Linked DNA regions of Callithrix jacchus. The protein of the gene in region 2 binds, or shares a complex with, the protein of the main gene of each other region. Links are inferred from orthologs where the notes say so. Each region holds a gene or a part of one and is shown on either strand. Other genes may lie near its edges.

Region 1 (6,127 bases), on a different chromosome or scaffold from region 2:
CCGCAGGCTCCACCCAGCAGAATCATGAGCCACATAAAGCAGGTGTTGTTTTAAGCTACGTGGTCTGGGGGTGGTTTGTTACCCAGACAGAACGAGCTGGTACAGGCTCAGGCAGCGTCCAGCCCACAGGTGTCTGTGTACCTGGGAGTCCCTGTTTCCCACCCCAAGATGCATCCCTAACACCTAAACTGATGCCTGGAGAAGAGAGGGATAGCTGAAAGTTATTCCTGTGAGACCTGAAGTTGGAAAAAGTCTGGGAAGCCAAAAGCTTCTGAGGGAGTGACAACAGCATGGTGGATAAGCTGGACCTGTGACCCCTCACCCCTCCTCTTAGTAGGCCCCTCCCCAAAGGGCTCAGGCCAGGGTGCCCTGTGCATCCCACCTCTCCCTGCTGATCACACTGCATGGAGCCTCCTGTGCATTTCCACAGGCTGACCTGGGACTCCTAGAGAGGGCGTCTCCTAGAGCTGTCTGCCTGGCTGCTGGTATGCTAAGCCAATAGGACACACCCAAGCCCCAACCCACCCCTTGAGCTCTGAGTGTAAGAATCTGGGAATGAGCAGGGAAGTTTGTGCTGCCAAGCCCGAGTCGAGACTACAGGCTTTTAGCTCCAGATGGCATGGGGACTCCCCAAGGGCTCTATCAGGAAACCCAAGGTCACCAGCAGAGCAGTTAGAAGATCCCAAGCTCTATCCCAAAATTCTCCTGCTGGCATGGCACAGGCTGAGTGTGGTCAGGGCACCTTGGCTGTGGGACACGGCCAGAGGTCAAGGTTTGGAAGGCCAGTGTTTGGACACCAACAAGCAGAGCATATGCCAAACCCACTTTGTCATCTGCTCTCCTCAATCTCTGCATTCCTTATTTTAGGAGAACCCTCAACACTCAAGTCAGAGACTTCAAAGTCACCTGCATCTTCTTTACTCAGTCAGATTCAGTTCTCCAGTGAGCCCCGCTAACCCTCCCTGGGCTTGAGCTGCGCAGGGCCCTTCACACTGGTGATGCTCCCTAGTGCCAAGTCCTGTCTCACTGACACCCTCCACCTGAGAGCCAGAGCAATGTCACTCAGAGACAGTGCCAGCTCAGCCTGGCACACTCCAGCCCTGCCACTTCTGTAGCCACGCCGCCTGCCTGCCTTGCTCACCTTTGCTCTTCTCCACTGCCTGCTGCTCTCATACCTGGGGTCCACTCTGCCGGGTCTCTGGCCTGCCCTGCCCTCGTCTGGTCACCTTCCGCCCTGGGCGTAAGCAGCACTGCCCCCCCCCCGCCCCCGCCCAGCAGGAAGCTGACCTGCTCTCCCTCTGTGCCATCCCTAGAAAGGCCTGCTCCCACTTCCTTCTCATCCCTGCTTCTGTGGTAGCCTGCTGCTGCTGCGATGTATCTGGGGGTTCCCAGGCCATCTCCCTTGCCAGGCCAGGGACTCCCCGAGGGAAGCAGCCCGTCTTCCTCAGCCCTGCTTCACTGGTGTCCAGCAGAGGGCTGGACACAGAGTGGGCAGCAGTGATTGGCTGCCAGTGAGTCAACAACGGAAAACAAAGGCGTCTGCTTTATTTGTTTTCAGACTGTAGCGTATAGTTTGTTTCCTAAACACATGGCAGCCCCGCTCAGGGCCCAGCAGGACATGGCGGGGCACGGTGGTTGTGGCCTAGCGCTCTGTGGGCTGTGGTCCCATGATTGGTCCCTTCTTCAGGGCTCCAAGTCACTGCCAGGACAGGGAATGATGTCTGCTCCTCAGCCCTACAAAGAGAACAGGTCAGCGTTCAGTCACGGCCCACTCTGCCCATGCCCTCAGGGCTCCATGCAGACTGCCCTGGAACAGCAATCGCTTCCTGGGGAGCAGCTGTGAGTCAGTCTCCCTCCTCGCCTTGAGACCCAGCACTGAGTCTCTTCACCTCTGTGCCCCAGAGCCGAGCACAGTCCCCAGCAGTGGGAGACAGGCCCTGCCCCCGTTCAGTGTTTCTGACAAGCACCTTGAGTATAGAACAGTATAAAACTCTGCTCTCCCTCACCAAGGCATCCCCTCTGTTCTCTGATTTTTCACAGCTCAGCGGGAGTCTGCTGGGACACGGGGGCCTGCACAGTCAGGACCCTGCTATGGAGAGCCCGAAGCCCCTGCCCTTGTTTGAGACACCCTGTACATCCACACACAGGCAGGCGCCAGGCTCTGGGCCTAGGCATCACCTAGCTGCCCTAGGAGCCCCAGGGCAGATGCTAGATCCTGGGGAGAGAGGCAGTGCTGCCCCACCCTAGGTCCTTGACCATGTGGGCCCCTCCCAGAAGCAAATCCCTCTTAGGGACCCTTCACTCCCCGCTCTCTGGCTCTGCCAGAAGCCTTCTGAGGTGGAGACGGGAGAAAGGTGGTGAAAGTTTCTCCAGCACTCGCCACATCTCACACACAGGTGCCACCCAAGTGCCTGGGTGCAGGGGCTCCGAGGGAGTCGGGTTGAACATGCTGTCCCCAAATGCACACACGCTGCCAAGGCAGCACAAGGGATCCAGACAGGCCTCTGGCACTGCCGTTGCTTAGTCTCCAGATTTTGCTAGTCAGGTCAGGGGTAGGGCCGGGAAGGAGGGAGCCAGGCCTGGCAGTGTCCCAGAGCCTCTCTCAGGGAACACACTGGAGTTTAATGTAATCTGTCTTCCTTGGTAATCACATTTTTGCCTTGGTGCAAGGAAGATACATTGGTGAGGTGTGTTTGTTAAAGAAATACTCTTGGGGGTGTTGGGTAGGGGCTGAAAACTACCACATAGGTGGGGCCGGATGGAGAGAGGATGGAGTCTAGGGCTAGCCGCTGAAGGATGGGCCCTGCCAAGAAGCCAAGAGGCTGCGGCAGATCCCTCAGTAAAGAGTTAGGTGTGTAATGAACAGGACTCAAAGCTGCCCTTGATAGGATGTGGGGAAGGATCTGGGGGTTTCACCTTGCTAATGGGTAGGGAGCTAAGTGTCTTGTCGGTGTGAAGGGCCCTGGTCCGGCCCAGCCTACCCAGTGCCCCAATGCCTCCTGCTCATGTGGAAGCAGAGCAAGCAGCCTTCCATGGTCTGAGACAGAGGAGGAGGCTGCCTGTCCTAGCCAGGGCTTCCCTCTCTTGGAAGGCTGACAGAGGCCCGGCGTCCACTCAGCCTATATGGAGCTACCTCTGGGCTGTGCTCTGGCCATGAAGGGTCAGGTGGTGCTGGATGGGGCTGTGACCAGCCCAGGGTGGAACAATCAGCTTCGCAGATGGTTGTCAGCAGGACATGGCCCAAGGAAGCTCTCACAGGCCCAGGGATGCAGGACCCCGCTCAGTTCCGTGCGAGAGATACCCGCTCAGACATGGCTGGAGAGCAGAGGGTGTCTGGCCTCAGCCTTTTCCACCTCAAGTACCTAAAGCAGCCTGTTTCTTACTCAGGCCAAAGAGGCTTTTCTGTGGAAAGAAAGACCTCATCCTATTGCTTTTCCCATACATTTTCACAAACAGGCCGCACTCCTCAGGGAGCCTAAGCCAGGTGCCCTGAGAGTGCATGATGCTCCCCAAAGTGGGAGCTGTCCTGTTGGGGTGGGGCAAGGGCGAGGTGTAACTGGAAACAGCCTGACGTTGTGGGACCTGGAAAGGGGAAGGATTTATCTAGGATAGAGAGGAGCAGCTGGGGGTGGGGGAGGAAGACAGTAGAAGCTGGCTGGGAGTGTACTGCAGGCCCACTGGAGTAGGGGGTGACCAGAGAGCACATGAGACCTGGGACCACATACAGGGAAGACCGAGCCAGCATGCTCCTCCAGACCAGTGGCAGGGTTGTGGCTGCGGGCAGCTCCTGATGGCCGCGCCGGCTCCCACTCCATTTTCAGATGGCCCATCCTTGCTGAGACCCCCACTCTGCACTTGGGCCTCCACCATGCTCCCACTCCTAAATGCTGAGGGCTAAGAAGGTCCAGCCTAACAGGGCAAACTCCACAGGGATCATCTCCCCGGGCAGATGTGCAAGGCGCTCCTGGAAGCAGGCTGGTGTGCACCAGGAGGTGACTGAGGAAAGCAAAGACCCGAGAATCCCTCCCTTGGTATATGCAGAGACCTCCAGGTGGAGCATCTGACTCTAGCAGGAATAGGCAGGCAGAGATCTCCAATGCTAGATAGAGGTACCTCCTCCACCTCCCACAGCCCCTGGAAACCTGGGAGGGAGGTGAGGCCTTACCTTGTGGGCAGTACTCACACACCGCTGGTATGCCTTGACCAGGTCTGAGCACAGCAGCACCTCATGCAGGCGATCTCGGTAGCATTGGAGGATCTGGGCCTGCAGCCCTGAGCAGACGGGCTCCACCCTGCGCGGCCTGCAGAAGACAAAAGCAGGCAGTCCTGGGGCTCGTGTGCCAGTGGGCAGGGGAGAGAAACAATTCACATTCACTCCACCTACCTGCCAGGCACTAGGCTAAGCCCCTGACACCCACCAGTATCCTTTTAACCCTCAGAGAGAAGCACTGTGCTTTCCCATTCTAGAAATGAGAGGACAGCTGCAGGTCAAGCCCTGTGGTCAGTGGCTTAGGCTCACAACACAGCAGACACTGAAACGGGCTGTGGGTCTGGGGCTTCACACTGGGCTCCTTTGCTGGGGCCTGAGCACCTCCAGGAGGCAGGAAAGTCCATGAGCTGACTCCCACTGGAGGGCCCCATGAGGATGGTGTAGCTCCTCTCCAGGACAGCCATCCTGCTATGCCTGGGACAACCTGCCTTGCTGCGCCGAGGGTAGCCGTTCCTGCTGCACCCAGGTCAGCTGCTTTCCTCTGCCTGTGGTTTACCCATGGCTGTAACCATGTAACTTATTTTTTTTGCTGATTTAAAACTAATATGTGTGAGGGAAGGAAGATGAAATCTATAGAAATGTCTAAAGAAATGAAAAATATTCTTCTTCTCACTTCTTAGAGGTAACCACAGTAATATTTTAGGGGCAATTTACTATTTTTTTCCTTTCCTTTTCAAAGTAGTTTTATAACTCACAAAAGTGAGTAAGTTCACTTTCTAAAATTATGGGAAAAAAAGAGCAAATACAGATGACACTAAAGTCAGTCAGCGGCCCAGCCTCCTGGGCGTAATTTCCGATTGGTTGGTCTCCTTCCACACACACTCAATCTCACACACTCACACACGGACACACACAGCAGCACATTTGCACACTCTGCTGGCCAGGCACACACACAATCTCACACACTCGCATACTGACACATACAGACAGCACATTTGCACACTCCCTGCTGGCCAAGCACACAAACACTCCATCTCACACACTCGCACAATGACACACAGCAGCACATTTGCGCACTCCCTGCCGGCCAGGTGCATATACACTCAATCTCACTTGCACACTGACACAGCAGCACATTTGTGCACGCCACTCTGGCCAGGCACATACACACTCAATCTCACACACTCACACACCAACACAGCAGCACATTTGCACACTCCATGCTGGCCAGGCGCACACACACTCAATCTCACACACTCGCACATCGACACAGCAGCACATTCGCGCACTCCATGCTGGCCAGATGCACACACACTCAATCTCACACACGCGCACACCGACACAGCAGCACATTCGCGCACTCCATGCTGGCCAGGTGCACACACACTCGATCTCACACATTCGCGCACTCTATGCTGGCCAGGCGCTCACACACTCGCGCACCGATACAGCAGCACATTCGCACACTCCATGCTGGCCAGGTGCTGTCCTCAGGCTGCTGCACGTGCTCAGTGCTGCTCCTCACGGCGCTGGCAGCAGATACTATCTTTCACCATGCTAGTCCCACAAATGAGAAGCTGAGGCTCAGAGAATTAAGGCCATGCAGCTGGACAGTGGAGGAGCGGGACACACTTATTTACATGGCTTTAGTTGTATGGTTGCTGCCAATTTGTTTTCTTAAGGGAGTTTTAGGCCAGGACCCTTCCCAGCTGTAGATGGACCCACTGTAACACTTGACAGCCTTTCCAAATTCAACACCACTTAGGGCTGAGGGCACCAAAAGGAGCCGTAAAAAGGTAGAAAGCCATTTCTCAAGTTTCTTAGCAACAGAAAGGATCACTGTCACACATGCCACAGCTCGGCTCCAGGCACATGACGGAGACGTGCAGGCCAGTTGCTCTCCCACCAGGGTCTCTG
Region 2 (6,135 bases):
AACATTAAAAAAATGATTAGTGCAGAATCCTTTCAGATGGATTTAGTTTATATTTCTCCCATCTGTTATAATTGTCTTACTCCTGTCTAGTTTTCATAGCAGTTATTTTTTTTTAGCCATTCATATTTCAGTCTTTATGAAGCATTTAACTTAATTTTCCTAGAAACAATAATTCTTTTTACACTCATATTTTATCATATTATGTTACATTTAGACTGTTTAATTACAAGTAAAACTGATGTAGCAACTTGAGGAAAAAAGCAAGTTATTTTTGACAAGCATACTAATCAAATTGTGAAAGATAATACCTTGGCATATTGGAGAGCACCTGATAGGAATGAATATTCATCATTCTACAAACATCATTTATAATAAATTTTTAAAAAGTTTTATTAGTCAAGTCTCTTAAAAGGATGTCAGATGAGAGCTTTTAAACTGTGTCTCTATTTTCCTGAAGGAAAGGGCCTATAGCTTTCAGGAGCTTCTTCAAGGCATCTATGATATTAAAAAGTTTAAGAAATGTTAGTCCAGAAGGTCTTTGAAAAATGGAAGTCTCACTCCAGTTATTCACCATTTTGAAAATATACTTCAAGATGGAATTACTGTTTGCTTTTTATAATTTTCCTCACAATATTTTTGTTAACTTATGTAAAGAGTAACAAGTAGTCAAAAGAAAGTAGTCTATCTTGCAAACTATAAAATATCTAGGAATAAACTAACCAAATAATGTTTTAAGGCCTATTTAAAAGGAAAAAGACTATCAAACTTTATGGAAGGGCATTTTTAAATTTTCACAATATTTAATTGATGAATAAAGATCAAATATATTCAAGGTGTATAACATGATGACTTGATGTACATATACATTATATAATGATTATTACAATTGAGTTAACACATCCATCACCACCCTTGCAGCACATAATATACCCAGAACTTGTTCATCTTATGACTGAAAGTTTGTACCCTTTGACCAACATCTCCTCATTTACCTCACCCCTATCCCCTGGCAACCTCCATTCTACTTTCTGCTTCTCTTCTGGGTATATATTTAAAAAAAAATGAGATCAGTATCTTGAAGAGATACATGTACTTCCATGTTCATTGCAGCGTTATTTGCAATAGTCAAGATTAGAAACAACCTAAGTGTCTCTCAATGGATAAAAGAATAAAGAAAATGTGTTGCACATATGTAACAGAGTGCTATTTAGCCATTAGAAAAGGAAATTCTGCCATTTGCAACAGAATGGATGAACCCAGAGGGCATTATACTCAGTAAAATAAAATAGACACAGAGAGACAAATACTGTTTGATCTCACTTATATGTGAAGGTCGTTTAACAAAAAATCTTGAATGTCTTTGGTGATATATCCTGTTTCTAGATGAAAAGACTAAGTGTTCAAATATGGCAAGTGTTTCAAAATCTAGAAATTTAATTCAGTTCTTACAAAAGTCCTGTATTTGAATGGAGTATAACATTCATGCACATAGTATTTATTGTCTGTCTACTGTGTATTGGTTACTATAGCATAGACAGTAAAATAGATCAAGAGGACAAAAAAGAATATCCAAAAAATTATATTGAGTATATCTTTGTACACAATTGGGTAGAGAATTGATATGTGGTACAGATGGCATTTCAGATCAGTGTGTAAGGGAAAGGATGGATTGTTTTTTCAAGAAATGTGTTGAAATAATTGGCTGTTTGGAAAAATAGTCAGACCTTTACCAACTATCATGGGAACACTAATTCTAGGTGGAATAAAGATCTAACCATAAACTAGAATACTATAAAAAGTATGAGAAGAAAAAGAGGAATACCTGTTTAATTTTGAGATAAGAAAGGCTTTCTTAAGCAAGATATAATATACAAGCCATCAAAGAAAAAGTTGACATATTTGACTACATCAAAATTAATACATTTCGGTAGATTACAAAATACCATACACAAAGTTAATGGATACGTGAAAAACTGGGAAAACTATTTGTAACATATATGACAAAGTATGAATATCCTTCATGTATTAAGAACTCCTATAAATCAATGAGCAAAAGATGAATGTGCCTTCTGGGAAAATGAAGAAAAAAACACCAACTAGCAATCTATATAGTAAGAAACATAAATGGCCTAATATATATATAAGATACTTGATTTTATTAGCAATCAAATAAATGCAGATTTGGAAAACCATTTAGATACTGGTTTTTAGCCTTTCAATTTGACAAAGATTTAGAAGACTTATAATATCACTGCTAGTAAACAGGGTAGGAAAACAGACTTATACTCTTGGTGGGAATGTAAATTGCTGCAGTATATTGCTCACTTTCTGGAGAGCAACATGGTAATACTGTCAAAAATTAGTGTGTATACTCTTCAGTGCAGAAATTTCAACTCTAGGAATGTATCCTGAGGAAATACCATAAAGGTTATGGTCCCAGTTGTATGTATAATGATGCTAATTTCATCATTGCTTATACTTGCCATCCCCCTACCCCCAAAAAGAAAACAGCCCCTATGCTCACCAACAGGGGATCTGTTAAATCATTGTGCCTCAATAGGGAATTTGTTTCACAAATTGTGGCACATCCATTATAGAATACTAAACCAAGCAGCAATTTTAAAAATTAGATCTATGAGTATATAAAGTAATGTAGAATCATACCTGGGAAATATTGTCAAGCTTTTAAAAAATCATATCTCAGAATAATATGTTTACTGTGATCTCATTTGTATTTAAAAAGGAAAACAAACTAAATACATATGTAATTTATTTTGAAAATTTAATTGAAAACATAATTGAGATTATATTATATAATCTATTCTGTACCTTTTTCAAATTAGTGGTTCATCATGAACTTCCACTCATGCCAGTACATATAGATCTACGTCATCTTTTTTGAAAGATCTATAAATGTTAACATTGCATTTGTTTTAAAATTTGTTTGTATATATTTAATGTATATATGAGTAAAAATTCAGGAAGAATATAGGTATAACTGTTAACAAAGGTTGTATTTGGGGAAGAGGAGGAATTTCTTTATACTACTGTATTACTTTTCAAGTATAGGTATATACTTAGTAAAAACAATAAAAATATTTCTATTTGAGGATGGAAACCTAATTTTTAAAACAAATATGTTTGTAGAAATTGTAATCCTGGAAAGCCCCTCAAAACATCTTTGAAACTTGAAAAATCAATGGCTGTTGAAATTACTTTAACCATAATGAACAAAAGGATTGGAGAAGAATAGGAAAAAAGAAGAAATCAGAAGTAGATTTTCAAAGAGAAAGATAGATGAATGAAAATAACAGTAACTTTAGGAATTCAGTGAGCATCCCAGCCTCTGCTTGAGTATGTTTATTGATCATTGTTTATTTTACCTTTCTACCAAAAAGAATAATATTCTTTGGAAGAATTAGCTGATGCTTTTTATTTCTTTATGAATGGAGAAAGCACCATAAAATTTTAAGCAAAAGCATTAACTTTGTAGCATGTTAAAAATCTAATTTTCTCAGTCAGCAGTTTATTCCCAAAACTCCTGTTTATTACAGTTTTCACTTATATCACCATGTTATATACCTTAAATAGATACAGTTTTTTATATGTCAACCTAATCTCAATAAAGCTGAAAAAAATTTTAAAAATAATGTAGACATAGTTTTAGATTTATGTTACATTTTAGATTTATATGTTGCATTTTGCATATGTATAAACATTTGCAGTGTATACATATCTTATAGCCCTTTGCATGACACAACAGTTTTTTCACATAGGATTTTAGAAATGGTGCTTTGTGTTATATGATTTAGAGATTTATATCTTTATTGATTCCTACCTGAGTGTTCATATAAAATACCTGACAAATCTAAAATGCATTTTTTATTTTAACTTTTAAAAATATATGTTATTTGACTTCCTTTTTGTTTTAATTAGGTAACAGGGAAAAAGATATATGCTACAAGCCAGCAAACTTTTGAAACAGTTAAATCACTGTGGACAAAAAGCAACAAAAAAGAGTCACTTCCTCAGCCTAAGGAAAAAACTAAGGTAAAGTTTAAATGGAACAAGACGGTCCATATTGATTTTTGTTTGGGTGGGTGTTGGCTTGTAATGAGGGTACTGGACAGAGGTCGAGGATAAAATAAGAAAGTACATGAAGGAATTTGGTATAATTTTTAAAGAAATTTTATTCTCTTAGTAAAATGATGTACTTATCAAGGAAAAATCTTTTTGGTAAACAGCTAGGATCCTCTGCCGAAATAGAAGCATTTGCAAAAACAACTCATGTCTTGAAACACTCAGTGCCTTTGCCAGCAGAACTCAGCTCTGAAGCGAAGACCAAATCAGTATCCACCTCAGGTTTGTTGGGAATAATTCAGTTTTATTTTCATTCTTTTCTTAAATAATTTGATAGCATTATCATTAGTGGTTTGAACTTACAGATGTGTTTTCTCAGTAAATATTTGGTCTTTCTTGTATCTGTGGTTTGCATTTCTTTTTAGGTTATGAGGTACTTAGGTGCCTGGGATTGTTTTAAATTACCACATAGTTCATAATATAGATCTTTGTATGTGAGGATATAGAGTAGCACTGACAGGTTGATTGGGTGAAACATTTCATATAACGTTATAAGTATGAGCTATTTTATCAGGTCGGGGAAAATGAGCCTTTCTAGATTCTATAATTTTAAAGGTATGAGTCACACCTACATAAAGAAATGTAAGCTTCCATTTTTTGTGCTATTTACCTGTCAATCTTAAGACTTGTAATGTTCCTAGTATTCCATACTGGCAATAAGTACTCTGTGGAACCAAACAGTGACAATTATGCTTTCTAAGAAAACACTACTATGATTTTACTGTGATCAAAAAGAAGGTGACAGTGTTTGATACCATTTTGACAATGTATTCATATTGATTTGCATAGTTGTATCTGTATGTACAATGTGAATGGTAAAACCCATGAAGTTGTCTTACTGCAGAGGAAAGGTGACTAACTCAGAGGTTGGGGAATAATAATAGTATCCACCATTTATCAAGCACATACTGTAATGCAGAGAGCTAGAAATGTGTTATTCAGCCCTTACCCACAAAGTAAAACAAAAACCTCTGCTGGATCAGTAATTACTCCCATTTTATGATGAAGAGACTGAGACTCTGGGAGCTAAAATAAGTTGCCCTGATTCATAGAGCTTGTGAGTGGCAGAGTTGTGTTTCTGGCCTAGATCTTCTTGACATCAAAGCACAAGCTCTTTCCATTGTGTATAGATTATCTAATTTAAAACTGGAATTTAGTCTCTAATTTCAGTCTCCTCCTCTCTCACTTAATCTTTATACAAAATCTCATTGAATAACAAACCTGATTTGAGTTTTATTATTTTCCTCTGTCCTCTCTCCTTCCTAATCAAGACAAGTTATACAGTTTTTAGAGTCTCTGAATAATCTACAGGTGACCATATTCTCACAAGAATATAATATATGGTCATTTTCCCAAATGCTAGTTAATTACAGAGTATCTTTGTGAAGATGAAGCATACTACAGCTTAAAAGTGGGACCAAAACCTTCCCGAGCTAATGTCTTCTTCACACATCTGGATGATGGAACTCTTTATTGCCTGTCTTGGGTGATGTGGTATATGAAAAGCATTCTAAGGAGATAATGCAGAGGGAGAAAGAGATGCCAGTGCTATTCATTCTTATCATATATGCCTTGGTCAGTTTGAGCTACCGTAAAAAATACCATAGACTGGGTGACTTGTAAACAACAGAGAGGTGATTAGAATTAGTTGAGGTGATGAGGGTGGAGCCTTCATGACTGGGATTAGTAGTGCTCTTATGAATCTTGAGAGAGCTTACTTTCCTCTACTCTCTGCCATGTGAGAATACATTGAGAACTAGACTGTCTACAAGCCAGAAGAGGACCTTCACCAGAACCTGACCATGTTGACACCCTGATCTCAGAATTTCAGTCCTTAGAACCATGAGAAATAAATTTCTGTTGGATCCAACATTTGTACTAGTTCTGTTACCTGGGGCAAGTTATCAAACACCTCGAGCCTCAGTCTCCTCATCCAACAAAAAGGGAACAATAATAGTTCTTGCAAGGTTTTAAAGATTAAATGAGATATTGCAT

Evidence for each region.
Region 1: APOOL (region 2) and CHCHD6 share a complex: the UniProt entries of both Homo sapiens proteins name them as parts of the mitochondrial contact site and cristae organizing system (MICOS) complex. The link is inferred for Callithrix jacchus from reciprocal best matches to the Homo sapiens genes APOOL and CHCHD6.

The regions. Positions count from the first base shown.
Region 1 is NC_133516.1:76,405,208-76,411,334, forward strand, and holds the end of CHCHD6 (MICOS complex subunit MIC25), read right to left. Parts: intron 4,302-6,127; coding exon 4,166-4,301; intron 1,735-4,165; coding exon 1,729-1,734; 3' UTR 1,526-1,728; downstream 1-1,525. UniProt on the Homo sapiens protein: Component of the MICOS complex, a large protein complex of the mitochondrial inner membrane that plays crucial roles in the maintenance of crista junctions, inner membrane architecture, and formation of contact sites to the outer membrane.
Region 2 is NC_133524.1:82,582,698-82,588,832, forward strand, and holds part of APOOL (MICOS complex subunit MIC27), read left to right. Parts: intron 1-3,936; coding exon 3,937-4,050; intron 4,051-4,244; coding exon 4,245-4,362; intron 4,363-6,135. UniProt on the Homo sapiens protein: Component of the MICOS complex, a large protein complex of the mitochondrial inner membrane that plays crucial roles in the maintenance of crista junctions, inner membrane architecture, and formation of contact sites to the outer membrane.